Lepisosteus oculatus: one gene and its partners. Each later gene encodes a partner of the first gene's protein in a complex. Links are inferred from orthologs where the notes say so. Each region holds a gene or a part of one and is shown in the gene's direction. Other genes may lie near its edges. The genes, in order: clocka, bmal1b and cipca.

Region 1 (9,637 bases):
TGTTAAAGAGGTTAATTAACATCATAGCTATAAATACCAAACTAATCTAAATCACCATTTCCTAAGTAATAAAGTAAGAGCACCATAACGAAATAAATATTCACATATTTAGCCTTCCAATGTTTCCTTTAATTAATTATTCTGCTGTTAATTATCTGTTCAACCTGTTGAGCCTATTTCTGATGTTTCGTTGTTAATCAATTTTTATGGGCATTCGGAACCTTAACTTCGCTAGAGCTTCCAGAGGTCAGCGTCTGAAATGTATTTCGTCTCGGGCGAGGACACTGGGCTCTTGGAAAATTTCTCTACCCACGGTGGCCAGCACAGAAGCTGCGCAGCTTCGTCCTCCGCTCACTGACTCTTTCAACAGAAGAAAGGGAACCGCTGGGCAGATCTGTGAGGAATCCCCAAAAATAAAGCCAAGAGAAACACTGGGAGAGAAAAAGAATTCGCTATCATTGTGCTTAGCATGCAAAACAGCCTGGCTTAGCTGCAGCAGTCTCAGTGGAATTAAAGGTAGGTCACATCCCATAATGCTCTGGTGTAGCTTCTTTGAATTGCTTAACCACTGTTGTGCCAGATGGATTTTCCCCACCGTGTGAAGTTTAAATTAATCTCCTTGAAGGCTGAAAACTGAGGAGATCTCAAACGATCTTTTGTGTTGGTTAATTTATTAATGGCTTTTTAAATTCCAGATCAGCATCGATAACAGTACACATCGATTTATCTTTTCATTTCAGTTTCCGTTAAGTTCTGAACCTTCAGCCTTAATTTGCTCACTGGCATCATATCCATTCCCAAATATATACATTTACTGTATATATATATACATATGGTACATGGCAATGATGATATCATGTATCTCTGTCCAATGGCAAGGGTAAAGTGGTCTTGCTGGAAAATGAGTGGTTCTCTCATCATTACAGGGTTAAAAAATTAAAACTGCACTTTCCTAAAGAAAGGCTGCTTTGAAAAGGCTTGTAGCTGGACAGACACGTGCTTTGTCATTAATCTGTGACATACGATGCCAGGGAAAAGCTTTTGAAGGTTTAGTGTCAACAACATCTATTAAGGCTGTGTAACAGCAGGCGGTATACAGTATTGTAATACTGCTCCAGGTTACTGGGGCTGTTTCCCTCTGTGATTCCTGCGTGATTCCTGTATGATTCCCTTTGTGATTCCTTGTGCGAGTCCTGTGATTCCCTGAGTGAATCCCTCTGTGATTCCGTGTGATTCCGTGATTCCTGCATGATTCCTGCATGATTCCTGTGTGATTCCCTGTGTGATTCCTTGTGTGATTCCCTGTGTGATTCCATGTGATTCCTTGTGTGAGTCCTGTGATTCCCTAAGTGATTCCGTGTGATTCCCAGTGCGATTCCTGTGATTCTCTTGTGATTTCTGTGCAATTCCGTGTGATTCCATTTGATTCCCTGCGTGATTCCTATGCGATTCCCAGTGCAATGCCCTGCGTGAATCCTGAGCGATGCCTGTGTGATTTTTCTGTGATTATTGTGTGTATAATTTACATAATTATTATATTAATTATATGATTCCCTAATGTTATTTCCTGTGTGATTATATTATGAAATATTCCATTCTATTTTTTATTTTTTCTCTTTTGTTACTGAATGATCCCAATGTATTTGGCCATTATCACCAGGTGTCTAGAATATCGTTCTCTTTCTCTCGTATGTGGAGCGCATCACATACTGCAGTCTGTACATGGGTGTCTCAGACATTCCTCATGTCTGCTCTTTTTATTCAGTGCTTTTCCTTCTTCATGCAGAAAGAAGGTAACAATTGTTCTGTGATCTTCTACTGAAATATGAAATATTGCTGAAATAGTAGTCATGTTTTTTCAAGCTTGCAGTACACCCTGATGGATCTGTATTTTGTAGCATGAAAAGCAGCCATTTAGCTGCGTGGATATTTCGTTTTATGGCAGCGCAGGACAGAATGATTGAGGTTGATGATGAGGAACGCCTGTCAATGAGTCAATTAGATTTGACAGGTAAGTGTGATGGATTGGCTATTAAAACACTTCACTGCCTACCTGTGTCTGGTTTACCTCGAGACCAGGTCTCTGCAGACTCTGATAAGCGTGAATTAAAGACGACTGAGGGGCGGGCCTCGAGCTTCGTCACTCGAAGCGAGATGTATCAGAGACAGTGGAAGGCGAAGTGACCGTGGGGAGGCTTTGAAGACTGTGAACTGTGAGCTGGTTACAGGGAGGATCTCATGCTGTGTGATGGAGGCCACATGTGCCCAGCGTAACCTGGCACTGAGTCGGCTGCTAATCGCAGGACTGTGATGACATCACCCGGGCTTCACAAACCCCCCCGCGGCTGTCCCAGGCCAGAGCCCGAACTCGAAGGCAGCAGCGGGAGACGAGGCTGCTCGACCCTGCTGCGCTCTGAAAGCCCCTCCTCTGCTGTCCAGAGCCAGGCCCTCCTGCAGTCCGGGAGCCAGGTGCAGGAGGGATGACAGCACAGCCGCACCGAGCCGCCATCACCGCCCAACCAGCCACCTGTGCTGAGCCCCGGCGCCCCTCCTCTGCACCGCCCCCACCCTGGGCTCCCTCAGTCTGACTGGGGTTCCAGTGTCCTCGTGCTCTCGCCAGGCAGACAGAGCCAAACGCCTCACCGAGTAAACCAAACACTCGCAAAGCATCCCGTCCTTGAGTGTTGTTGCCCCTAGAGAAATGTATTATTATAACGTTTGATCTGAAGTATTAATGAAATTAATATTGAAATTAAATATTAATAATATAATTGAATTCAAAATATTTAAATTAATTAGACTCTAGAGATACACAGTGATGTACTTGTTTGTCCTAGTTAGTTCTTCACATTCACAGAGACCTTAACAAAGAAACAAATCAGTTCTTTGGCCACAGCAATGTAATTATTAAATCCACCTATTCCTCATGCTAGTATGATATGTATGCAAAGTAAGGCATGAGAATCTTATTACAGCTCCAACAGGTGTCTGTTCCTTAGCATGTGGGCGGTAGCTATGAACATTTAAAAAAATATACCAAACCCCGACTGAAGGAAATAACTTTAAAATACGATTTCGACCTGTCTGATTATATAGTTTAACTTTAGAAAAGGTTTGCATGAAATTAAGGAAGACTCCTTTCTTGCGACTCAAAGCTATTTTTCAGAGGTAGCTGCAGAATCTCATCTGAGAGAAAGGAAATTAAAATATTATGTCTAAACCTTCAGGGTACCTAAACTGGGACAGGGGGGTCATGAAAATCAAAGTTCGCCTTTACTGGCACAGAATATGAAGTAAAAGGTGTACAGTAGCTTAATAAAGCACCCACTCAGAAGCTTGTGGTTCAGGTCCCACTGTTAAAGAAGTTTTAAAACAGAACAAAGCGTGGAAAACGATCGCGAAGGGATTCGTGGTTCTGAATCCCTCAAACGTGTTTGTTGGTGATTTTAAAGACCGAAGTCCGAGGAGACGGAGATAATTCACGTGCTTTCCAAATCTTGGTCATCGAGACAAAATGCGGAGAAATGACGATTATATGATGATGATGATGATGATGATGATAAGAGTGAGTGAACATTTCTTCACGTAATTAGCAAAGGGTTCACAGCCCCCTAGGGACACAAAAGCAAGCAATTTTTATTTCACCGGAATGGAAATCAGAGAACGTGTTCCAGGCTCGTCCGGGGAGGAAGGCTCACGGCACAGGACAGCTGTCCAGCCCGCCGCTCCGCCTTCGTGCAGAACAGAGAACTCCGGGCGGACCTACAGTATTTGACCAAACACTCCCAGACCGTAGGGTTATTGGACGAGCTGACCACGGCGGCTGACCCCGCCCCCCTGCCCGCACAGTCAAGTTCGGTTGCGCGGCGCGTCTGACCTGATTGGCGTGACGCCAGCCCGGCGAGCGGCGCGGGGAGGCCGGGCCGTGACACGCGCTCGGGGGCGGGGCCTGCGGCTCGCGAAGCGCTGTTCTTCTTTTAAGGGGGGTGGACGTGTAGTGTTCAGGCTGTCTTTAATAACACCCGAATTACAAAACAACAAGTTCTACACATTGCATTTCGCACTACAGGAGGGTCGTTAGCAGGGTTTAAGTGGCGGCTCTGTGGCTCAGGATCTGCTCCTGTGGCTGGAAGGTTGCCGGTTCAAATCCCGCAGCCGGCAGAGGAATCCTACTCTGTTGGGCCCCTGAGCAAGGCCCTTAACCCCAGCTGCTCCAGGGGTGCCGTATGAATGGCTGACCCTGCGCTCTGACCCCCAGCTTCTCTCCCCGTCTGTGTGTCTCATGGAGAGCAAGCAGGGGTATGCGAAAAAACAAATTCCTAATATGAGAAATTGTATATGGCCACTAAAGTGATCTTATTTAAGATCAGGGAAGAATTGTAAGCTAACAACAACAACAACAGCGACATAATAATAAACTTTGTTTTTATATAGTGCCTTTAAACGACGTGGCTTATCAAAGTGCTTTACAGAACAACAACAAAAAACAATGAGAGGAGACAGTGGATGTTAAATAAAAGCCTCGAAACACTTTTCAGTCCAGATGTGAAAGAGCTCAGGGCACGTGACTCTCTGAGATCCCTGGGGATGGAGTTCCAGAGTTGTGGAGCGCAGCAGGAGAGGACCCTGTTACCCCTAGAGTGTAGACGGGCTTGGGGGACAGACGGGAGACCAGTCTAGAGGAGTGAAGGCAGTGAGGTGGGGAGTACGGTGATAATAAGAGCTCAGACAGGTACTGAGGTGCCGAGCCATGCAGAGCCTTGTAGGTGAGCAGGAGGATTTTGACGTCGACACAGAACCTGACAGGAAGCCAGTGCAGGGACTCCAGGACAGGAGTAATGTGATCACTCGCACTAGACCTGGGCAGGATTCTGGCTGCCGAATTCTGGACATACTGGAGTTTGTTCGGTGTGGATTTAGACACCCCAGCGAGGAGAATGTTACCCCAGTCAAGACGAGAACAAAACCAGAGCTGTTGCCCAGCTTGTCATCAACAGTTAGTGATAACACAGGACACAGCCTGGCAATATTTCTGAGGTGAACGAATGATATTTTGACAACATGTTACACATGTGGGTCAGATGTCAAGCCTGGATTAAATATCACACCCACGTTCTTCAATTTTGATTGAAACTCAAGTACAGTACCATCCACAGATAGGGTTACAGCACTGGCTTTATGTAGCCAGACTTCAGTCTTGTCGCAGGTCAGATGAAGGAAAGTGTGAGTCATCCACGTTTTTTAATGTCAGAGATGCAATTAAGCAGAGCAGAGACTGTAGATCTGAGTATCGTCAGCATAGAAATGAAAATTTAGACCGTGCAATCCGAGGTTCAATGAGCATCGTAGTTGATTGGAATATTTTTAGCAACTACAGCATTGCACAAAGCCAATAACTTGCTTTGTGGGTGTCTTGTGTCAGGGGGGTGTACCATTGTGGTGCGTATGAATCCCACATTCTTGTCTTTTACTGTACCAGAAGGCTACACAGCGACAAACCCAGAAACCCCCCCCCCGCCGGCGGAACTCCTTACGCGCCCACGTGAAGGGATTGCCCGTGCACGCGCTTCGAGAGGGGCGGGCGCCTCCCAGCGCTCGCCCGCGCTGCGCGCTCCCGGCGCCGGCGCGCATGCGCTCCGCGGAGCCCCAGGCAGGCCTGCTGTTTGTGTGACTCCGGCTCAGCCCGGCGCGGCCATCTGAACCAAAACAACAAGCAGGAGGGGAGAGCCGGAGAGCCGCGGAGCCGCGGAGCGCAAGCGGGTAAGGCGGCCGGTCCGAGGCGGGGGGGCGCGGGCCGCTGCGGGGCGGGAGGGCAGGTGGTGGGGGGGGCCGCCGGGGCTGCTCGGGCAGCGGGGGGCGCCGGGGCCTGGTGACCCACATTCGTGCTGCCGAGCGAGGGGGCTGGCTGCGCGGCGGCCCGGCGCGGAGACGAGCCGGCTGGGTTTTGGACCACATTTTGTTTGGTTGTCGTGGTGGTGTTGTCCCTCCCCCCGATTCTCCTTTTCCGTACCCCCCCTTAACGCTACACTCCCCTGCCCCCCCCGCCGCAGCCCGACCCGCCGGGAGCCGGGGCTGAGTGCTGTCAGGGGCTGCTCTGCGCACACACGGCCGCCGCTCCCGCCTCCTCCGTTTTTATAACACGGGGGGGCGGCCGGCTGTGCACCTGTGACCCTCGCCTGTCCGCGTATTTATTTCTCCTCCCGGCGCGCCGGGTGCCAGTCGGGGGTGGTGTGACTGTGCCACCTGTGGCTGGGCTCGAACCCGAGTGCGCTGGGCTGGGGTGGGTGTGTGCGGCTTGGGTGCCTTCCCTGTTGGAATGCCGGACGGGCAGCGTTTCGCCCGGCCTGTCGTCGGATGGGAGCCGTGCCCCCCCCCCCTGGTGTCGTGAGTCCTGACCTCGTCCTGATCCCGGGGCCGGTTTGAGCTCCTGCGGAGGTCAGTCTCTTCGCACGGAAGGGGGCAGGAACTGGCCAGCGGGGAATGGGGGTCAGTAGGTCGGGTTTCACCTGCGCGAGTGGACCGCAGCCGTACTGGGCCAGAGGCGAGGTCAACGTCAGATCGGTCACAGATGGGCAGTTTTCAGCCCCCCCCACCAAAAGAACGTCTAGTTTTTTTTTGTTTTTCCATTCTAGTTGCATTCCTGGAGATAAAAAGGCCCCTCTTTGCTCGCCTCTTGTTTGCGTTTGCTGAACGCATCAGCATCAGCATTAGCCTGTGGTGCTCTTGGCGTCAGGAGGAGGGGTGTCTTATCCAGCGGAAGGCTTTCGCTGTGTCTCGGTGGTCGACCACCTTCTGGCACGAGCATCCTAGCAGGAATTATACTTCTTTAACGGGGCATGGTAATTTAAGTCTTCGTGTGTGCACCTACTCGAGTGTTCAGACTGCTAAGGCAAGAAATAGAGGAAAATTTGATCATTTTGCCTCCCTTAAGATGAAATAGCTGGTGATGGCTCTCATCAATGATGAGAATAATAATATTTAAGTGTGTTTTCCAGAAAAGCACTATATAAAGCACGTTACAGGTAATGGGGATCCCCTCCACCACCAGTGTGCAGCCCCACCTGGATGATGTGACAGCAGCCAGAGTGCACCAGTATGCTCACCACACACCAGCTCTCACTGGGGAGGTGAAGAGAGGGTTTGAGGCCAGTTCAGAGATGGGGATTATGAGGAGGCTGTGATGGGTAAAGGCCAGAGGGAGAATTTGGCCTGGACGCCGGGGTTACACCCCTACTCTTTTCGAGAAACGCCCTGGGATTTTTAATGACCACATAGAGTCAGGACCTCAGTTTTACGTCTCATCCGAAGGACGGCACCTCTTTACAATACAGTGTCTCCATCACTATACTGGGGCATTAGGACCAACACAGACTGCAGGGTAAGCGCCCCCTGCTGGCCCCACTAACACCTCTTCCAGCAGCAGCCTCAGCTCTCCCAGGAGTCTCCCCTCCAGGTCCTGACCAGGCTCACACTGCTGGGCTCCAGTGGGCGGCCAGCTGGAAGCTTCAGGGGGATACAGCTACTGGGGTGGTGGTGGGGTCAGGCATGGCCTCAGTTTGAGGGGTGCAGGGTGCAGCAGATGGACCAGAGATTGTCAGGTACCCCCGGGTCAAGTCCTATGACCCGCATCACGCTGAGGGTGACATTTCAAGGGCAGCTGCAGTCCTGATTTCTCAGACCGCTTATTAAGTCTCGGTTACGTCATTGAAAATACGTTCACAGTCGTTCTAGAAAAAAAATGACAACTTCCGAATTAAACACAAAATCATGGACTTTCTGAAAGTACTGTAAATCGCCATGTTGTCTCAAACTCTTGTGGCCGTTCCTGCTCGCTGCTCACTGTGATGACTGATTCACTGTGATGCACAAGCGAATAAGTACTGTTTGTGCAGCAGACACTTCACTGCAGAGATGTTCCAACGTGATCTGCATGCAGAGTTAACAAATAAGTAGTATTTGTCGGCAAAACCGTCTGGAAGTCAAGAGCAGTATTTCTGTTGGATTAAAGAGACGTATTCACAAGCCTGTTTGATTACAATGTCATAGGTCTGCTATCACCGGAAGTTTTGTTGCCTTGTTTTGAATCTCAGGACGTGGCACTGTGCCGAAATTTTGTCTAGTTTGTGATGTAAACTCGAGATTTTACAAGTTACTGTGTACATTTTAATTTCATTGCAGCTTGAAATACACTCATCAACGCAGATTCTTTCTAACCCCGAAGAATGAAAATAGCTGTTCCCCTTTAAGGCCTCTAAATGCCTTAAAACTAGCTTTACAAGGTTATGTCAGTGGACACAAAAACATGTTTGTGTCACGCTGACTGAAATATTCAGAGTAGCACCAATACCGAAGTGCTCAGATCCAGTGCCGTGTCCAATGTAAATAAAGCATGAATATCCCCCGGTTTGGTGTATATTTGGGATGCCATCTGTCCTCTGTGTTGAATACACAGCCTTAGGGGACAGTTCACAGGGCCACTTGATCTGTGACCCCAGTGTGACACTCACAAGGAGCTGCTGACAGCAGTTTGAGATGACAGGAGCGATCAGTGTGATAAGAAGCTGGTGCCTCCTTCTGGGCTGCTCCAGGCGAATGATTGGTGGGTGGCTCCACAGGGGGCGGGCCTGTAGGCGGGGCTCCTCAAGGCAGCCTCTGCTTTGCCCCGCCCTCCCTCGGCATCCTGGTGCGGGTGTGCAGGGTACAGCACTGGAGCAGGGTCTCGCCGGCCCTGTCCAGGAGCGGCACGGAACCGCGGGCTTCCAGGGGTCCTGGCCATCTGCGGAAATCCAGCCTACTGGGCTGCATCTGTGTAGCCTGAGGTCATGACGAGTGGGATTCGGACATGGAGATGGGCCCTGGGTGGGGTGTCAGGCTGTCGTGCATGCTGGGACGGGTTGGATGGGGGAGCACTGCCCCAGCTGGAGGATGAGAAGAGCAAGACAGTCAGACACAGAACTGCGCTGCTGCGGCCCGGTCTTCTCTGGCACAGGTCTTAGTCTGGACAGAAACTGCAGCTGGGCGCAGGTGGGTGAGAAATTAAAAGCTTTCAACACGGACCTCAGTGTTCACCTCTGGCCTTGGACCTTACCCAGTAAAATAGTAAAATTATCCATTGTAAAAAGTTGAAAAGCATTGCCATTGGGTTAGTTATGTCATATACTCAGGCACCTCAGCTGGAATATGGGACTGCACATTGTTCGTGGATCGATTCTTTAGCATTTATCTGCAGTGTCGTGTGTTGTTTTGTGTCCCCGCCCAGCCTGGAATGGCCACCTGTAGGCCTGGCCCACTGGTAATCACCTTCACCAGTTGAGCCTCTCAGAATATTAGTTGGCTTCCGCAGAAAAATCAAATTAAATGTATATGTACAATATCTATACAATATCTATTATAATGACTTTTGAAGCATGTTTAAACTCACTTTATTTTGGTTTATTTCCTCAAACCGGGATTTTTCCGATGCCCCAGACTGGTTAGTTGTCACGTGAGTTTGCCCTATATTCTGGTCCGAAAGTGTTTCTGCTGTTCTGAGGGCAGTGGATCTCGGCACAGTCAGTCCTGAAACACGATGTTCATCTGTTGCTGTTGCGCCAGTAATCAGATCATTTTTACTGTGTTGTCCCTTTATGTTATAACC
Region 2 (9,727 bases), on another chromosome or scaffold:
AAATAACCAAAAAGATTTGACTCACGTACAGTATTCTTATGATCTAAAAATAATGTCTAATTGAAGGGACCATTTCCTCTTGCTAATCTGTCTAATAATGGCAGACAAACCTAGCTTTTCACCTAATAAGTATTATAACTAAAAGGGGAGAACCAAGAAAATAATTTTAAAAAAATCTTGATACCATATTTCCAGAATTATCAGTGGTGTGAATCTGTTATTCCAATTCTTTGATTTCCAAAGAGGATGAGGCTAAAAGAAACACATGCCTAAAATTTGAATTAAGATGCATCTAAGAAAGGCTTTCCTAGAAAATAGCTAGCAGGTTATACACCAGATTAATTACAAAGCTATTAAACATTGTACTCTCATATTACAACAGATTAAGATTATTTTTCCTTTTGAATGTAGGCTTTGTTTAGGATTTCAAATTAATACTCACGGAGGTCAAGAGCCACTTGTCTGAAGATGACAACATCACTGTTGGTGAACTCGCAACTGGGATTAGGACCATCTTCTGTGCATCTCATTTCATTCTCCGTTTCACTCAAAATGGTGATTGCAGAACGGATACTATACTCCGTCACACCAAGGTCAACGAGAGGCCTTCGAATTTCTTTGAGACAGTTCTAAAGAAAAATGCAGAAATTATTGTTAAAATTGTGTAGCAGATGTCTTTCATGAATTCTCTGGATTCTATGCAACTGATTATAAAAACTGACAAACAGAAACCCCTTTGTTACCTCTGACAATTTGGCATTATAGTGGTGTACAGTTCATTATGAGTTTAAGTTACCTGATAATGAAGTTCACTCATCATGTTTTAGCATTGAAAGAATGATAGGTTGTTAAAATGTCAAAGATATGGTTCCAGGTGTTACAGACACCACTTTTTGGTGCCAGTTAATATGAATCAGTGCAAAAAAAAAAACCTTTTACTCAAACTCAATGCATAAAAATAATTTATGATCTGAAAGAATACTGAATTGGATTATCCTAGTTTCAAGTGCACACTTATGTGAAAATGCAATGGGTATCTTTAAACCTAATGCCTTCAGATCTCAGACTTCAACTATGGTTTGACCTAGTAATTGTTTGGATAGATCACCTCAAGGAAGTAGGCAGGGATTACTGGGAAGCTAAGCAGAGTAATTTATAGTTGTAGCTAATGTGTCATCATATTACCTGGAGAGGCAGGCAGGCAAAAAAACTTGTAAAGAAAAATTAATCTCAATCTCTACTACAATTCAGAAAAATTAAAAAGAGAGAGAGAATGTCATCCACTCTTGCTAAACAAGATTCCAATTGCCCCTCAGCACTGGTAATCAAGCAAACTGTGGAGTACCTTTGTTAACAAATTCTGCATGTTCACTGAACTAAAGAAATAGGCCAAATAATAAAAAAAGTGTAATAAAAAAAATCCCAGGAAAATGTGAAAACTGCAAAAGGCACAGTACCTGATAATTGAAAGGACTGCCACCTTTCACTGACTCAACATCCAGAAGAGACTTCCATGCACGCCCGCGTAACTCAGGTGGAAGCCCTATTTTAATAAATTGCTCAATCTGAAATAAACACCCAAAGCACAATATCAGATTTTATGTACATATATGCAAAAAATACAAAAATAAAAACTCAATAAAAGAGCTTTAATAATAATAATAATAATAATAATAATAATAATAATAATAATATTTTTAAACTATTCTGCTATTTACCAAAAAAAACACATTACAACTTTGAGTATGCCACTGGGGATAATTAAAAATGGAATTTTAATTTCACATTGCAGCCTTCCATTTAACTTACAACATGTTTCAGTAAAAACGGAATTATCCTGGTTAACATACATTTCTGTACATGGCAAAAGAGATGGGAATTCTGGAGAAATATTAAATAAAGGCAGTGGTCCCAGAAGACATCTCAGAATACGGGATGAGCAAGCACCTGCGAGCCTCACTGCACATCTGACTTACAGTAGGTCTGTACTTTCAACAGCTCTATGTGCTGTCAGTCAAGACCAGATCCTTCTCTGTGATCATAGAGTTTAACTTTACAGCACCAAGCTACCTGGTTCTTGCAGATGAAACTCGAACCATTCCAGTAGCTGAGCAAATGACACAATTCCTTCACCTTCACAGCATTTGGTCTGGGGTAGCTATTAAAATGGAATGAACAAAGTTAAACACCAAGCGATGAAAAAGCAATGCATAAGCAATGAAAATGTAAAATGAGGAATTTGTAAGGAGGCAAAAACATTATATATGTTAAACCGACCAGGAAACTATTGACCTTGTGGTGATTTCTATGTATTACCTAACAGTATTTTAATACTCCACTCAAAAGAATGCAATTTTACATATATATATACACATTTACCTATTCTCAACCCAGTCAAACTCTCGGGAATATTACTTTTAACATGAACTGCGGCGTCTCTCTTCCAAGAAGGTAATTCAAAATATTTCGTATTATTAAGGGGGGGCTGACTTAGTATTTATAATTTTTTATACCAAGCCATTAACAGAAGATTAAGAAACACGTGGGGCTATTATAAATAGTAAGGGCATGCTGTCATTAAAACATTCAAAATGACGCATTATAACTATAGCAGTTTGCTGTAAAAAATGTCCCCGTGATGTCTCTCGTTTCTCTTTTAGCAATGGCAAATTGTTTTACTTTAGCGACACGTTTCCCATAAATATTTTGAAGATAATGGATACACTGTGTGTGGTATAAAAATCACCACCCTTAAACTAGACTTGTGCAGTTGCACTAGCAAGATAAAGTAGTCTGAGCATTACCTGTATTCGTGACATCTGCCTGGCGATATTTTCACATCTTTTCTACCTAACACAGCGAAACCAAATTCGTCAAACCCCAAAACCACATTACGCCTTCGTGGCGACTTTCCGTGACTGCTCTTTCTCCGCGACATGATAGCAAAAAAAAAAAAGTGGTTTCTCAAAATCAAAGAAGGCAGTAACAAAACAACAAGTAACAACTGTAAACTGTAACTCTGTTTCAAATCAGACGCCGCTTCCCAGTTTCCGATCCGCCCCTTAACTGACAAACACGTAGACCAATGGGAAGTCAGAGCTGAAACTCTGAAACCAATCAACTACAACTAAAAGCGTTGCTTCGCTAATGAGTTTGATTTCTATTTAAACCATAATGCGCAGCAGGTGCAAGCATTTAATCTACTTTAAATCTACTTTGAGTGGAAACTGAGACCTTGCTTGACCTTTGCAAGTTTCTTTCTAAGAAAGTTGGAGGTCTTAAATTACCGATGAAATGTTATAGCTAAAAGGCAACCTCAAACGTGTTTACGAGCAATTGTAGGAGTCCAAATAATCCTATTATTAGGTTCAGTTAGCGGTTCGATTATATAATTGACAGCATGAAACCAAAGCCAGCAGCAATAGGACCCCTCCCCCAGCCCAGAACAATTACTTTTCCATAAGGGGATCCTGGGATGAGAAATGAAGAAGAATCAATGGCTCACATCAAGGAGCCCAGCTATAAAAACCGATGGACCAACAAAACTATGATCGAAGACCAGGGCCAATACATTCCTAATCAGATCTCCGCTTGCAGCCCATATCAGTTTCTCATCAGCGGTGGCCAGGCTGAGTGGCACAAGGACACGCTTCTGAGAGAATGGCGCGGGCTTCTGTGGAAATCTGCTTGAAAGAGGCAAACCCACCATACAGGAAACTGCAGTGGATAAAGACACGGACGATTTCTGCTGTTCTTTCCACCCGAGTCATTAACTGCCTAATTCAACTCTTTATTGATTTAATTGGACACGTTGAAGACTTCCCTTGTTGTTCAGAAGCTGGAGATGTAAAGTACCTATAAACCTTGTTGGCCAGCTGCCTTTGAGGACCGCAGATGGACACCTCTGGTGTGAAGACTGATTAAGAAGATCTCTCTTACAGCTCCCAAAGGAAATGGCAGTATACTGTGTAGGAGACGCACATAAGACGAGGGGTTTTCATTTTATTACTATAATAAAGCATGAGGTCACAGGGCGCAGCTTTGGGCTAGTTTACCAGTGTAAGAAAATAGTTATATAGTAAAGACAGATGACATGTCGTTGAAGTAACGATATCATCCATCTTCAGCGTCACAGACGTTTATCATAGTCGTTTAAAAGGTGTGCTCTACATCACCGTAATTCTGACTCTAAACACAAAACAGATAAGGTTTTTTTTTTCAATATGTGTATTAAAAAGAACATCAACGGATTTGAAATAGGTGTGGTGGTTCAGTCTTCACTAAATAAAATTGATTTTTCCACAATTGGTATACAATTATTTCGGAAGATGATTTCAGACTGAACTGACAAATTAAGGCTGTAATTCGGGAGAGAGTGCGTATGTGTAGTTATGCCTTCTAAAATGCATTTATATTGGAGGTAAAATATGAGTAAAATTCAAAAGAGGCATAGTTTTGATGTAATTTTTTTGTAATGGATATTATTATATTTTACTTAATCGTGGCAACACTACTCTTGAGTCAGAGTGACCATGTATATAAAAAAACTCCAACAGGTGGCGCATTTTGCTTTTGGTTTCAGCGCCGTCCATGATCTGAATCCCATTCTTTAGTTTACGATGTCCATTTCCTGTTACAATCATATCTTGTGCTGGGTATCCTTTAACCTGGTGTGTGTGCTTGGCAACTATAATGTAAGAAACTATATTGTAAAAGACATCAATATACAATGTCTTGATGCAGAAGACATCAACGCATATAAAAAAAAAAGCCTTCTTTGAAGACAGATGCCTTGGGTGCTGTATTTTGCGAACACTGCGCGTAATTTGTAAGGCACGATGCGCCACACCGAGCTGTCAACTACGCTGCTCAGACTCTCTCTTCTTGAAATTCACACGGGTCAGTGAAATGGGTGGGTTTAAAGATCAAAGTCTACTTCTTGGCTCCAACGGTGTGAAGCTGTGACTACAGCCAAGGCAACCATCCGACTCAAGCCGTGCAACTTTATGGCCGCACAGGGCGCCTGAGTAATCGGGTGCCACGGTCGCGCACGGCTCCGAAGTCGTGGATACATTTCCTCCTTCAGCGCTCGGTGATTCACCATTTTTCCAAGTCGGCGGCAGGCTTCCTTCCTCCTTCGCTTTCCTAAGCCTCCTCCTATTGGCCGTGTCTCTCCGAGATTGCGCGCCCGTGGCGTGGAGCGCAACGCGAAATGCTCCTTTGTTTTATCCGGCCCTGCGAGATTGGCCAGGCGCTGCCCCAGCCCGGCGCGATTGGCTGCGAGGACTATGCAGGCCGCTCCAAAGACATAATTGGTTGAAAAGTAGGTTAGTGGTGCGACGACAGTTACAGAAGGGAGAAAGTAGGTCACAGACTGCTGCTGTTTATCACCGTCCATGTTACCCTGTATTTAAATGTGCTTATTTAACTTTCATCACGTAAGTACAATGCACAGTATTTTACGGCTTGGTTCTCTATATTGATAAGGAGAGATCGCAGACATAAAAGCAGGTAACACTGTAATGTAACGTGTTGTTCCGAATCAGGATATATTGCCGATTTCGGGAGGAGGGGCAATCCTTATGTATATATAACTTTAAAGGCGTAGGATGTGCTTTCATATCGCGAAGGATAAAGTCTGTTTTCGTTTACAGTGGCCTCAAGAAATCGGGGTTTTGCTTCACATTTCTCATGTGCCAAACTGAATATGGATAGTGTTTTGTAAAAAAAAAAATAACGTGTATACATCTATACGACTGCTTGTTATTTAAGATTTTCTTCAGAAAACGCGTGCGTTTCCTTTAAATACGGTACATCGCACGGGCGCGTTGATAGGGTTTTTATTGGGGTCAAATGTTGCACACATTCAGATACTCGGAGGTGGTGTGAAAAAATGCCTTATTTCACATCTAAGCATGTAATGTGTAGCTAGTTGGTTTCGTAGCTGTCAACAGGCAAACTGACAGCTGTCAGTGTTCACGGAGGCGATTCTGTAGGGGCTATTACCGTACTTGGGAATTTGTCATTTCCCCCAGGACATTGGCCTCCTTTCATCTTCTAACTACCTGTTACATTGTTGCGAGGTAGGATTGTTCTGTTCACTAGCTCTTTTAGGCCTACCAACACTCTTATTGCCTTACACGGAAATAATTAACGAGAGGTTGCATTTCCAGCAAGAAACCGTCAGCTGATTTCTGCAATTTAAAACAATATCAGATTGTTGGTTATTGTTAGTTTGGGTCTGGCTGCCTGTTTTGTGCTTGTAGATGAGAAAAAAAATGGAATCGTTTCACCCTCGTTGTAGGTGTCCTTGTATTTAATATTCCGGCGATTCCGGAAGATAAGGAGTTAAAGGGCTCTTTTAGTCAGCTAGCTTGGGACTCCTAAGAAATTAATTCCAAGGAAACAGTTTGTGATTCCTCCTGCGTTACGTTTTTATAATTGCCTATATTTGTTGAACTTATGCACAATTAAGCTGATCTTTGGCCACCAGAGTCAGGAATTTACTGACCGGGATTGTACAGATAGCCTGCTCATTATTGTCGTGTCTAATTTCTGCTCATTTATTTCTTCTCCGTGTCTGGCTAGTATTACGCATGAGAATATTTAACTGTTCAGCTTCTGATGTTTGGGAGCTTCTTTCTTCTGTAGTGCCATGTAATAGTATACTTATGTATCGCAGTTTGGCTGTTTATATATAATAATACTACTGTAAGTATAATAATACTACCTTTAATAGTCGTTGCAAAGTTCCAGTGGAGTCCTTATCCATATGGAAAGTACTGTACTGTTTGAAGCACCACTGTTGTTATAAAAGTGCTTGCACTGTACATGGAAACCATTTTAATCAATTTTAAAATTGCTATTTTATTTCAATCGCATATGACAATAGAAATCTGCGTGAAATTTCACGGGAAGAATTTATAGCAAAACATCGTATTACGAAGAGATAGGAAATATATTTCTGTGGATTTGTAGAGAGCAAGCTCAGAGACCGTTACCTGTGTTTCAGGGAAGAAAAAATAATATTTATTGACGTACACCCCTCATAAGGTAAATAATAACACAGCTATTCAGTCAGTGCCGGTGTTCCCAAGTCAGAAAGAACTAAAGAACATACAGTTCCATTCAAAGTGATTGCTCTTACAACAACACAACTATTGTAGAGCCTGTTCTTGTATGAAACCTGTTTACATAACCAGTGTGATTATATAGGTCTGAACTGTATTACTGTGCATTCCAGATACCTTTGGTCTGTTAAGGATTTAAGTTACTTTATGCAGTACTTTCTTCAATTAAAGATGGATCACAAATCAGTCAGTCAGTTTTGATTATGAAAAGTTTGAGTGATACACGCACAGTTGTAGCCACCTTTCAACTGAAATTAATTTCTCTCACTCCAGGTGAATTGGCTCGATGCTGTATTTCATAAATTTTTCGGACACGAAGCAGACCTCGGCTGGTTTCCATTTGTACAGTATCACCCGGAATTATCTTTTGCAGGGCACTTCCAAGTGTGGTAGTTGGACATTTAATAAGAAGACACCAAAATAGCAGGCTCAGTAGTTATACGCTGCAGTGCCTCTCTTGGGGGAAAGAGAAAGAAGGAAATGACTTTAAAATGATAAGGATGATAAAAATATTTTCTAAACAAAGTCCATTCAACTATATCAGCACCAACACACACTCCCGCTGGACCTGAGTTCACAGTCTGGGTCCTTTTGACCCCATTGTATACTGGTTTGTTTTTCCAGCAGATCGCTTTATTGTTTAATTCTTGGTGCCGAACTCGACTTTACTGGCTTCCCTGCAGTTAGCGCACACTGGCAGTTCTTCTCTTGCACCTCTTTTTGGAAACATAGTAATTCCTGGAATTAATCGAATTTCTCTTTGCACATCTACACTCATTCAACATTCAATTACTTGACACATACTGGAAAGTCACCATTAAAGCGCTCCATTTGTTCAGTTAAAGTAACTGAAATTCCAATATAAATGGTAAACAAGCAGACACGCAGGTTACCATCACTAGGATTGGGGCACCCTGTAATGTTCAGATGATATTTAGCCCTATGAAACGTCTAATGTTTTATAGGAAATGCTTTCCATCCTTGTCATTGCTTAAAATGCTAGGTGAGTGTCAAATATTCGACTGTGCTGAAATGTCAATTAAGCTAATCTGAAAAGACAACATAGATGTTCACATGTCCAAGGTAGGATAGGGGCTATTTAAAACAAAACATTGTGATGAGCATTGGTTGAGTCAATAACAATCCAATAGCATTTTTTATTCTTTTCTGTAGAATGAATGTCATGGAAAACATGACCTACTGTAGTTGGATGTTTACTGTCACTGAAACATAACTGTGTTACACTGATTTTTTTTCCCCTTCCATTTTGGACCATAAGGTGTTTTGCTGTGTATCTCCAATATTGTGTATTGTGCTTTATGATCTTCATATACTTAACTGTACTGTACAGTTAAGATCTATCTTAATAGTTAATGGTTCTACACAGGCATGCTAATCCTCTCTTAAAAAGCTACGTAATTGCTTAAATATTTAAATATGAAGGAGTAAATTATTTCATACCCCTGTTTTTGTGCAATTTATAGTAGCTTTATATCCATAAAATTGAAATGTTACATACAGCGCTTTTCTTGTGGGTGAAATTACTGGAAGATTTCTCCTGAGTTCATTTAGTTTAAAGTTCAAGTGAACTTGACTTATTTTTAATATCAAATTTGTCAAAGATTTCTGTAACGTAAAGCATGTTATGTGGTGCTTATCAACTGTAATAACAGTCTGCAAAAGCTACTGGTTACGTATTGCTCTGTTATGATGTATTTGCTTAGCACATGTCCCTACCCTTATCGTGTTACTGTACGTTTTTCCTGTATCAGAGCAAATGGATTGGGTACATTGGTTTCAGTATTTCTATAGAAAGAGATACAGTTCCATATATAGCAGGCTATATGTGTCTCGGGAAATGCATTGTCATTCAGCAGTGTATCCATTATGTGTGTAGTCAGCTTACTGCGACAGTGTAGTACACTGAGCCAGCTGGCTTTTCGAAGGCCATTGAAAATGTAAGACATTTGCAGCTTACTCGCCAAAGCAAGCTGGTTTAACCATTTTTATTAATTCAGTTAAGCTTTATGCTCTTCTGCCATGAACACCTTTTAAAGCGTTAACTTATAACAGACTGCATTATGTGCAGGCTCAAGGTATTTGTCTTTGTTCCAGTTTACCTGACACCAGTGACACTATAGTGTAAGAGTATGTACTGTATATACTGTTGGGTTCAATCTCAATAACAGCAACAGCTGCCTTTCCAATTGCTTCCTATTGCACTACCATTAACTAAAGTCAGGGCATTCTGTTAAAGAGGTTAATCTGACCCTTTCCTTGAAAATGAATATTTCAAAGAAGTGTTTCAAAGGGGTGAAATGGAGACTTATTGTACACCGAAGAGTACTTTAAAATGTAAATGACATTATTGTAAACTAGGATGTCTGATCAGATGCCTTGTTTACAGTCTCTAAATATGTTATCATTGTGTTAGTTTGCAACAGAGTTTATTTTAGGGTTAGTTTCTTGATCACTTACACATAACCTTACTATAGTGTATTGTTCTTGACTACAGTAGAACAAAGCATTTTACCAGTGAGATAAAATAAGCCTTGGTGCAATATTAGAATTGCACCTGATGCTTAGACATAAGGGGA
Region 3 (10,586 bases), on another chromosome or scaffold:
TAATACTTCAAATGAGCAAAAAGGGGAATTGAAGAGTTGGAAAATAGCACACAGGACCACCTCCATGTGATGTGTGCTTTTAGAGGCATTCTTGACCTTTAAAGCCTTCTTTCCAAATGTAATCATGTGAAACTTCTACCTTTCACCAATAGAAGGGTTACATTCCTAAATTTCAAGTTCATATTGCCATCGCAAAATCTACAGTGCCTCCTTAGACACTCATTTTCAGTGTAACATATGTTGCTTAATAACATTTGTTTCTTTTGCTGTTTTATGTTCCCTTTCAGTAACAAGAATATAAATCACAATAATCTGAGTTATTAAAAGCATATGTTCTGTTCTTGTCCCCAGACTCAGGAAGATCACTGTAAGAAATGAAAGGTATTATTATTATTATTATTATTATTATTATTATTATTAATTATTATTATTATTATTACTAGAGGCAGTATTGAGGTTATTTCACTCTTCTGCTGCCAGTGTTTTGTAAAAGGTGACATAACAGGCCCTTGTATTTTTGTGCTCTTGCTTTCCTTCAGGAGGAGACAGAGGGGGAAGGGAAGGAAAAGAAAGGAAAAGCAGAAATCGAAAGACTGCGACACGTAAGTTCATGCTCACGTGAAACCTGAAACTGCAGTCCCTGCCGTCCTGGCCCACAGCATCAGTCCAGCCTAGTGACGGGGGCCTGAACCCTGTCCCTCATGCTTCAGGAGAGCATGATGCTGAAGCACAAATATCACCGTGACAGAGGGGTAGCTCAGAACATCAAATTGCGATTATTTCTTGGCCTTTTGCATCCTGCAGATGTGATTATGAGTGTCCATTTTGTCCATGTGTGGTCAGGCACTGCTATCAAATAATGTCTCAAATTGCTCAACCTACATGATTGACATTTAGGAGTAGTGTTTTTGCTAGGTAGTGCCAAGTGACTACTTAGATGATCCCTTGGCACTGTAAGACTACAAGTTTCCCTTTGCTCTGCATTAATTTCACTTTGGGATGGATCAGTCTGGCCCCCCTAATTTCCCCCTTTAATTCATTAAGTGAAGCCAGTTCCCCCTTCTCTGCTCTGTGTTGTTAAAAGTGCTAATGCGAAATGGCGGCCACACTTCACTCAGATGTGAGCAACAATTCAGTGGTGGATGGGGCAGATCCCCTCCTATTTGTAAAGCAGATTCAGGGTCTTTTGGGATGAAGAGCTTTATACAAATGCAAGGAAATGTTTTTAAAGCACTGTAACACATCGCACCCTTGACTGGTAGCATGGTAGGGCAATCTGCACATAAACTGTCTCTAATATAGAGGAGACTAGATGGCAAACTATAATGTAGCCTTCCCACCCTAACGGAAGTCCCAAAGAAGGCTCATCTAGGGCCCTCCTTTTCACCAACAGCTAACATGGCTAAGACCGGGGCTGTTGGAGAGGCTGACATGTCCCTTCCAAGCCAGCAGATCGAGGTGGCGATCTGTTAAAGGCACTTAAAGGCATGAGGCTGTGCTTCTGCTATCAGACAGACACAAGGTTTTACACTACCATCTCCACATTTTATTTGATGTATTTTAGGAATAAATAAAACTGAAACAGTGGCATAGCACTGTACAAATGGTGCCATTTGTAACAAAGCACAGCGCATTGAGATAAGCAGAGGTGCAGTAAGGCACGACACTGATTGTGGGGAAACGTTGGCACACTATTGCATTGACACTTTCAAACCAGAGGACAGAAGCTGGACACCTGGTGATGTTACTGGTGAGGGGACTTCCTTTGGCTTTGTCATTCGCCTGACCGACTTCCTCTTGTCCTCCTGTCTCCCCCAACAGGTGTCAGCCTCCTCGCAGGTAACCGAACGGCAGCCGCTGTCGTCACTGTATTTATTTCTTTTCTCCAGTCAGACTTAACAACATTGGCAGTCTTTTATGCACTTTTGGGATACTGCGTGCTCTTCGTCTGGGCTTGAGCGACCCGCAGTGACGGGCGGGACTCTCAGGAGCAAGGCAGTCAGAGGGTCAGCCAGGCCAGCCGAGACCTGAAAGAGAAACCCTGGCATCACCTGGCAGGACAGGTGGGCAGGGAAACTTCGCCATGAAGGACAAAGGCTCAAGGTTAAAGACTCAACTTGGAGGACTCGCGTTTTCTTTTTTTTTTCTTACGACACAAGTATTTATTACAATGAATAGAGGCAGTAGACACCAATTACAAAACTCCTGCTATTGTAATCCACGTTCTGTACCGAGCCTTTTCCTGGACACAAGAAGAAAGATAGTGTTCAATCGGGTCCAACGTCCGGGACTGCGAGAATATGACCCCACTAACTCAGCTTCAGAGCGTGGCTGGTCCTGCCGCCATCATCCCTTCAACGCTATTGTCTGACTCCCTGTTAAAGTGGAGGTTTGTCACATACCCTTTCCCCTGCAGTCACAGATTTCTTTTTTTTAAAAATCTGTTAAACTGAGCCACTGCGTAGAAAACCTCTCCGGAACAGCAGGAGCAGACAGAACAAAGACAGTGTAGAATGAGATGCTGAAAAGAAAAGAAAAAACACCGACTAATTTTATATAAGAAAACAAACAAATGACTGTTTCGGAATTAGCACACATATGGCCCGAACTATGAAATGTTACTAAGCCACTCGGCAAATAGTCATTAAAAAGCTTTTCCGGTGAGATAAAGTTCGTTCTGAGGTTGTAATTGATTTCACGTGGTATTTCCACAGCTACAATAGGTGGCAGTCTCCATCTAGTGGTAACCACGTATTATAGCATCAAGTATTAAACTCTCTTTTGGACACTTCATTACTTGATCTTTGGTCAAAATAAGCCATATAGCTCGCCTAATGTATCATTTCGACTTTTTGGATCTTCCTTAATCTACAATATTATTTAAAGATCGATTGCAAAAGATCCTAGCAAGATCATGCTTTGAAATTCATTTCCTCCAGGTCCGTGAGTTCATATGTGGGGGAGATCGAGTGGGGTTGCGTTAAAAACGGTTATCATTGCAGAACCACTATAGAACTTTCTTTCTTGTTTATGTATGAGGGTTTTGTAAACTGGTGCATGACTTACTAGTGGCACCACAATGCACAATCAATCATAAAAGAAACAATAGCTGAGAAATCCAAGACAAGATAATGAAATGTCCCAGGAATAAAATAGTTTTCTTGGCACTGGATGCTGACGTTTAGAAAAGAGAACAGCAATCTGTCTAAACATATATTCCAAAAATGAGAACATTGTTGCCTGTGAGAAACCTCACTGTTATGTTTCAAAACATCCACAAAGTCTTGTGTTACACACTTGGCCAAAACAGAGGAACACCCAAGTCCAGTATCGCTTATGGCTCAAATGATGTTCGCCAGCACTACTGGATCATCACGAATGATAACACTGAGTAATGACAAAGGTGATTAAAATTAATGTAAAGCCTATCCAAGACCATTCCCAAAGAAGATTCAGGCAATCTGAATTGGGGAGGCCAGATCAACTGCTAATTATTTTGCACAATAAGCGGATATTTTTCTAAACGCAAAGGTAGAACGTCATACACATAGAATATGCAGAAAGTAAAAAGTGAAACGAAAGGGGAGTCTGGAACACTCTCAACATTCCTTATGAGGATTTTTGACATGTATTATTTTTTCAGTATATAAGGAGAGGATGAGCGCTTAACTGACTAAATTAACATTCCTTGTGTTTGAAATGCTTCCATTTTTGTCACATGGGCAAAACCAATTTTGATGACGAAGGTTGCCACAGTACGTAACAGCTCACTACACGTTCACCGTTACGGAAGTGACGTCATCTACCCAGATAAATAGACGATGTATGATTCTCTTGCGGAAGAAAACCCGGTGTCGTGACGCAGTGGAGATCGGCGCTGCCTGATTTTGATGGAACGTGTAGCAATCCCAGCAGGGTTAGAGCAGATCTTCACCGGCCACACGGAGCTGGGCGATTTTCGAGGTGTCATCCCTCCTCCCTAACGAGATAATGGTGACATCTGTGTTGTGGTCTGTTCTCAGCTCGTTTCACCCCAGCCAGGCAGATTTCGACAAGTTCCTACCAGGGATCGCAAGCTGCAGATACAGCTAAACCTTCAGCACTGTTGATATGCAGTACAGAGACCTTCCATTTTGTACTGCGATCACTTGAATCAAACAAGTAAAAGGCTTATATCACTTCACCTCCTTTGTTTTTAATTTAATTCAATCAGGGAGGGTGCGGTGTGCAGTGAAAGAGGAGCAAGCTGTGTGAAAGACTGTAAGAGTCTAAAGTACTGGACTCATTATTTAGTCTGTGCTTTAATAAGAAAACATGCACCGACAACAGCAAGGATTCATTTTTATTGTATTCTCTTCTTACAACAAACAAAATCACAGTTGTTTTTGGAAAGCATCCTCTAATAATTCTGTTGTGAGATTTCTTTACTGGAATTATTGACACCTTTGTATCTGTTCTTTTTGACAATTTGAAGGGACTTGCCAAAGCAGTGGATTATTAGAAAAATATTGGTATTTTCTAATAATGCAAATAAAATGTTATAATGCTTTAAACAACCAGTAAATCATTAAATTTACCTTTTTATTTTATTAATAAGAGTCTACCACAGCAGGCAGAAACACCAATACCAAGATTGATGTAAAACCACATACTGTATGCTTTGTCACATTAAAAAGGATGGTATTGAAATCTAATTTCTATTGTAAATAAAAGCAATGCAGGATCAGTCTGTGTTTATACTGTACATTGTATATATAAATGTATTACTGTTAATAAATAATACATTATATTTAACCCAATGAGTGTTCAAATCCTTGTCAGTACAAAGATAATATAGAAATGTGTGCTCATATAACTGAAAATAAAAGGGGGTAGCCCGTGGGTTATCTGTGTTTTTATTTCAGATTTCCTTAATCTTTCCACATTATATCACATATACATTATATATATGTTACTTATATAAAGCCCTGGTCAAGACATTGGAAACATTTTAAATCACAAATTCAGGCAAATACTGTATGTGCATTAATTTCCAATAACCACCTAGTTCAATACAGAGATGTGGTCACCAGAGCCCACCACTCAGGGCCTAAAGTAAACTCATAATCAATAACAGAACCTGACCATACTTGAACTTCCTGACACTTCTGGTTAAGTCTCGCTCAGTGTTATTCAGTGGTGGGTGAGATGGGTCCCCTGTCCGCTATATTAAGAGTTGTGATTAGAAACGCGCTATAGATATTTGAATTCAAAGCTTGCATCCTCAGTGGCTCTTCATCTTCATGACTTTGCATTTAGCTATACACATCTCTCCCAATCTGCTGCAGAAAAGATATAGTGTATTTCAGGCTTGATCATTCTAAAGCAGCACTTATGGGTGTAAAGGAACAAGTAATAGGTTTATTCCGTGCTGAAAATGCTCCTTTGCAGCCTACGCATGCTGACGCAGCTACCCACCTGAACTACTTATGGGTTTATCCAAACATGCTCATAAAAAGTTGGAACATGTTCACAACTCAGTGTCTGGGACTTTAACCAAAAGTAAAATTCATGAGCATGAACTGGACCACCTGGTTAGGTTCCTTGCACTGGTTCCCTGTTGATCTCAGAACCAGATTCAAAATACTGAAGCTCACTTTCACGAGCTTAAATAGAACACCTTCTAATAATTGCAGCAAACTGTTAATTCCCTACACACTAGCACATTTGTTGGACTCTGGGTTTCTTTCAGTTCCTAAAACCTAACTCCAGACTCTGGGAGAATGGGGTTTCCATTCGTATGCTCCAGGACAGTCCACATGAGATCTCCCCAGGCATTCAGCACTTTCAAAAATCACATTTATACTCTAGCTTTTCATTCTGTTTAATTTAATTTGTACATGCCTGTTTCTCTTGTTAGATTGTTTTATCGAAAAGCAATCGAAGATTGCTTATAAAATTAAGGTTGTTATTATTATAATGTAAATGTATCTGATTGTCAAATGTTTAGTGGCTAAATCTGAGAGATTACTAGATTACTTTCCCTTGGAATGGGAGTTTAGTGATACCTACTCTGTATATATGACACCAGTAATACCATGTACTTGGCATGAAAGTCTCTGAAAAGGTCAAGCTAATAGACAATAATTACAGCGAGAAAATCTAAAGTTCAAAGCTTTGTTCCCAGTTAACTTTTAACTTTTCTGTTCTAAAAGTAATTTGAATGAAAAGGCATTCCCCTCTTCACATTTTCTTTTAAGTAAGAACCTGTGTTTTTGAGGCTATGTTGCTTTTGCTCATTTTGTTATGAAACCTTTAATTGTGTGTCATTTTTTAAAAACATATATATATATTTTACTCTACTTGTACAGAGCCAACTGTCCACCAAACAAAAAATGCAACAGAACAAATCTGCCTAGGGTTAAAACCACTGGAAATATGCAAAGCTGAAGCTACAGTTCTCAGAAAGAAACTTTCACGGGGGTCTCTCTATTTCTTTAGCATGACTCATAAATACAACTCACTCTTCTTGGAAGAACTTCATCCAGGCTTCCGAAGCCCACAGGAAGACTTGCTCAAGGGAGGATAAGTTTTTTAATTTGTAATTTTTTTTTTACTTCACAAGTACTGTGTGGATATGCTTTCATTATCATTCTTGGACTTCTGTCAGAGTTGAATGCCTGTTGTACAAGTCATAAACTTTTTTTATGGGTCACGTTTCTGGGCTCAATGCCATTACCGAACTCCAATTAGAGGGCCGTAAAAGGACAATGGGCGGGATTTTCCGCCGCAAAATACAGTGACGTCACGAACGCTCCCCTGGCAACGCTTGCTGGATCCCGCCGTAAACGAACTCATGGAGTCGTAAACAAAACAGAAAAGAAGGAGTCTATAGCTTGTTATCGTCGTGATGCTGTGTTTTCTTCAGCAGCGTTTTGAAGAAAAGGTGTTTATTTTTTAACCTGTTAACGTTTTTAAGCGAGCTGCCGACAGTGAGTAAGTAGGCGATGACCTTTACCTATCTATGCGGGACTTTGTGTATCCGGAGGGATGTGGTGTTGGTCGCGTGTCGTGCGTCGTGTATCAGGAACTATGTCACAGGCCAGCAAGCTACAGTCACAGCTCGGGCTGCAAGAAATCTAGATAAGGCAAATCTTGGGTTAGTTTCTGCCGTGCCGAAACGATTGGAATCTGTGCAAGGAGCAAGCAGACTCCCTTGAATAGGACGTTAAACAAATGCAGAAAACATTTGACTCTTCTACAGTCTTCGCGTGTCTATCGTATTGCGATAATATTTTGGTTCTTGCATCGCTGGGATGTATGTACGTGCAGTGTATTCGTCAACGTGGGACGTAATTTTATTTTACAAAGGGTTTAATATGCCGCTGCGAGAGTCGGATGGCAACATGCATAAGTGCGATTATTTTTACTTATTGTGTAAATTGTGATTTGATGAACGAAATGCATTCTCGTTTTTGTACAGTCAGTGCTGAGTGAAACGGCCTTTAGTGTGGCCGGCTTTTACACTTCTCGGAACCGAATCATTTTCCACTTTCATACTAGCTACGTCATAAATGCTATCTTAAAATTAAACTGCTTGTCGGTCTATGAGAAAACGAAGAACACATTACTATTTATATTGGTTTTTTTCGCTGTGGCCACAGCTGAAGATATTTAGTTCAAAGAAGATCGTAAGAGAGAAATACTTTATTCTTTATTCAGTCTGCCCCAGTTTCCGAGATGTTTGGTTTTTGTCTCTGGTGCAGTTTGCTACTGACGTCACTGTTGGCCTTTGTGAATTCATTAGCTTTGGTATGTAAGGAGGAATGCTTTCTGTTCAGTGCTGTAATGCGTTGTGTCTGGTGAAGTTGTATAACTAACTATGATTAACAGCATCACATAATTGCCTTTTCTCTTAAAAATTAGGATGAGATAATAGAGAAACGTACGTGTTTCTTGGTACAGCACATTGAATGAAAGATCTGGAGAATTATACTTATTCTGCTTTTCCCAAACTCTTCAGATCTACTGCACGGCATTAAAACATTGTTTCCCCATTCATAGGCTTCTGCATGCAGGGGATGATTTACAGACTTCAAGGCTGAACTCGACAAGTTACTGTGCTACACTGGACGTCTTTCCTTGGGGCTCCCAATTAAAGTTTGTCAGGATAAGACGCACGGCTAGCACACAAGACCGAGGACGTGTTTTGTAAGGATGTAAGAGACATTACGCCTGCTGCTGACACAGGTCTGCTTGCGATGCTTCCCTGCTGATGTTCGCCCCTGTCTTTGGTCCACAGACAGTCCCCCGAGTGAGAGAGATGCTCCTTGGCTGAACGCAGAGAGCCCGATCAGCCATGAGTAACAGAGGGAAAGCAGAAAGCCACAGGAGGCTGTCAGCGGGGCTGCATGCTGACATGATGGACACGCTGAAAAACCTGCAGCCAGACAAGGGGAGGAATGAGTCGGAGCGGGACTCGGGATTCTCAGGTGTGTGCCTACTCATGGCTGTTGTTCCTGTCACAATCCCTTCACATCTGTGAATGTGCATGGCACGAAATAAATGTGGGTTCTGTGCTGGAAAGTGGGGACAAAAAGCATCATCCAGGTGGGGCTGCACATTGGTGGTAGTGGAGGGGATCCCCATTACCTGTAAAGCGCTTTGAGTGATGTGCCCAGAAAAGTGCTATGTAAGTGTAAGCAATTATTATTATTATTATTATTATTATTACTATTATTATTATGAGAGGAAAAGAGAGCAGGAATGTGGGCTCAAGGATGGAGGGGGCTAAAGAAAACACAAGAGTTGGTAGGAGGGGGAGAAAGAGAGGCACAGAAATCCAGGAGAGGCGAGGAAGGCAGGAATGGATAAAACAGAGCGATACAGCTCATTTTATGGGGATGCTGGTATCATCTGGTTTTTGTTCCACCTCCGTTCTCACTTGCATAGTTGCCTGATTATTTCGTCAGCTGCATCATTTGTAACACTTCTAGCCAGGCTCCCAGGTGATATCTGTGTAACTGTACCCTTGTATGGTGTAATCAGCTGTCAAAACACCTTATGAATAATATTATCCTCTTAATTTAGAAAAGCGGGTTAATTGTCTGATTGTTCCTACTGAGAATGGAACAAAAGCCAGAAGAGACCAGACTCTCCTGAATTTGAAGTCCTGGTGTAAAGGAGAGGAGAGAAAGGTAGAGGTTAGGTGGTTGGTGACGGCTGGGACATTGTGCAATTCCAGCTTAGGGTTAACCATAGACTCAGACATCCCTTTTCCTCATATTTCTGCTGTCTCCTCAGCCAAAACCTTTTTCCTTCTATTTTTTTTGGTTGTCATTGTCGAGTTAATCACACCTTGTTCCTCTGCAGCTCACATGCTGATACAGCTCCCCACTCAAATGCCCTGCACAGGAGGCAGGACTGCTCCAGATCAAATCTAATCTGTGCCAAATGGCCAGACTCCTTTTCTTTGTGTCAGCTTGTTTTAGCTTATATTATGGTTTCGTTTTTGTGTTAACGTCTGCTTCAAATGAAGCCGCTATCATGATACAGTGTCTTGTATTACTTTGAAGTGTACTTTTTTTAAAAATGCTGGTTTGGACCAACCAGGCAGGAGTTGAAAGAATGCTGACAGTGTTCCACTGGTTGGTCCTCTCCTCTTCTAAGTTGACTGCTGCAGTAGATGGTAATGCCTTCTGATAGGAACTTTGCCTTATTTAATATAGTTGTTTTACCTGCCCTCAGCTCGCAGCGCTGACTGACCTGCCATATGTTTGACTCCCAGATGCTAGTTCTGAGTATCTGAGTGCGGTGGAGCAGACAGATGCTGAGGATGGACAGAAAACCTCAGCCCAGAGCATCAAGTCTAAATCTCAGCTGCCACAGCTGGCAGTGATGGGGGGAGGTTACCCTGGCCTTTCTCCCATGATCATCATGAACAACGTCCTTCTGAAACAGGTGCAGAGGAGCTCCCTGTTTGGCTCTTTCAGAGTTTATAATCTGTACCGTCATTAACTTGGCAGTGATATAGATTTATTGCTGTTTGTGTGTCCGATGTCTGTGTAACACAAGATGATCACTCCTTTGATCGCTCCTTTGAATCATCCATTTTAATGATTCAAAGGAGCATAACCTGTTATGTGAGTGTGATTTCTCTTTCCTAATTTTCCTAACTAATTTCCATCATCTGATTGGAGAAATCATCAGTCTTTTTGCATTGTGCACAGTTCAACAGGGAGGGTTAGTGGTAGTGCCCAAAATATCTTTAGGTTTAGTAAATATATTTTTTTTATGTAATCTGCATGTTAAAAATAGCTAAATGATTGCTACATTTGTCTGGTTTCAGGCAAGTAATTGCCCCCCTGCTGTGAAGCCCTGGGGCTTTCAACCAGCTATAGAAGTGATTCCCCAGCCTCAGGTTGTGTTCCTCCAGCCTGTCATTTCTAACGGTATCACAAACACGCAGAAGGGACCCCAGGACAAGAGGCGCCGATCGCAGAAGTACCTGCCCATCCTGAAATCCTACCCCAAAATAGCCCCTCACCCTGGGGAGAGCTCCTCAGAGAGGAGTGCTTCTGGCTCTTCAGAGCGGAGTGGTTCGGCCT

Evidence for each region.
Region 2: the proteins of clocka (region 1) and bmal1b are in contact, whole or in part, in a crystal structure (PDB 4F3L), measured with the Mus musculus proteins. The link is inferred for Lepisosteus oculatus from reciprocal best matches to the Homo sapiens genes CLOCK and BMAL1. Residues at the interface, in NP_001276755.1 of Mus musculus: Arg46, Gln49, Phe50, Leu53, Ile54, Glu56, Leu57, Met60, Leu61, Pro62, Lys70, Ser71, Leu74, Gln75, Ser77, Ile78, Phe80, Leu81, Arg82, His84, Lys85, Thr88, Glu95, Ile96, Gln98, Asp99, Trp100, Pro102, Phe104, Leu105; in XP_030097882.1 of Mus musculus: Lys70, Met71, Phe74, Ile75, Glu77, Leu78, Ser80, Leu81, Val82, Asp93, Leu95, Leu98, Arg99, Ala101, Val102, His104, Met105, Lys106, Leu108, Arg109, Gly110, Ala118, Tyr120, Lys121, Pro122, Phe124, Leu125, Asp127, Asp128, Glu129.
Region 3: the proteins of clocka (region 1) and cipca are in contact, whole or in part, in a crystal structure (PDB 5VJI), measured with the Mus musculus proteins. The link is inferred for Lepisosteus oculatus from reciprocal best matches to the Homo sapiens genes CLOCK and CIPC. Residues at the interface, in NP_001276755.1 of Mus musculus: Gln519, Leu526, Lys527, Leu530, Arg533, Ile537, Asn540, Ile541, Arg543, Gln544, Glu547, Leu548, Ile551, Gln554, Leu555, Val558; in XP_006515773.1 of Mus musculus: Asn401, Thr402, Val405, Leu406, Ser409, Leu411, Ile414, Thr415, Thr418, Leu421, Ile422, Asn425, Thr428, Gln429, Leu432, Leu435, Lys436, Thr439, Gln440, Phe442, Ile443, Thr446.

Annotation. Positions count from the first base shown.
Region 1 is NC_090696.1:77,752,087-77,761,723, forward strand, and holds the start of clocka (circadian locomoter output cycles protein kaput), read left to right. Parts: upstream 1-5,589; 5' UTR 5,590-5,760; intron 5,761-9,637. UniProt on the Homo sapiens protein: Transcriptional activator which forms a core component of the circadian clock.
Region 2 is NC_090716.1:8,949,371-8,959,097, forward strand, and holds the start of bmal1b (basic helix-loop-helix ARNT like 1b), read left to right. Parts: upstream 1-5,249; 5' UTR 5,250-5,438; intron 5,439-9,727. Other genes in the region: TBC1 domain family member 10A, read right to left, coding at 443-629, 1,458-1,565, 2,071-2,158, 2,805-2,938. UniProt on the Homo sapiens protein: Transcriptional activator which forms a core component of the circadian clock.
Region 3 is NC_090703.1:9,790,018-9,800,603, reverse strand, and holds the start of cipca (CLOCK-interacting pacemaker a), read left to right. Parts: upstream 1-6,801; 5' UTR 6,802-6,925; exon of another isoform or gene 6,926-6,975; intron 6,976-7,027; exon of another isoform or gene 7,028-7,138; intron 7,139-7,452; exon of another isoform or gene 7,453-7,791; intron 7,792-8,043; exon of another isoform or gene 8,044-8,198; intron 8,199-8,281; 5' UTR 8,282-8,338; coding exon 8,339-8,471; intron 8,472-9,766; coding exon 9,767-9,939; intron 9,940-10,327; coding exon 10,328-10,586. Other genes in the region: pgfb (placenta growth factor), read left to right, coding at 352-381, 540-602, 1,822-1,843.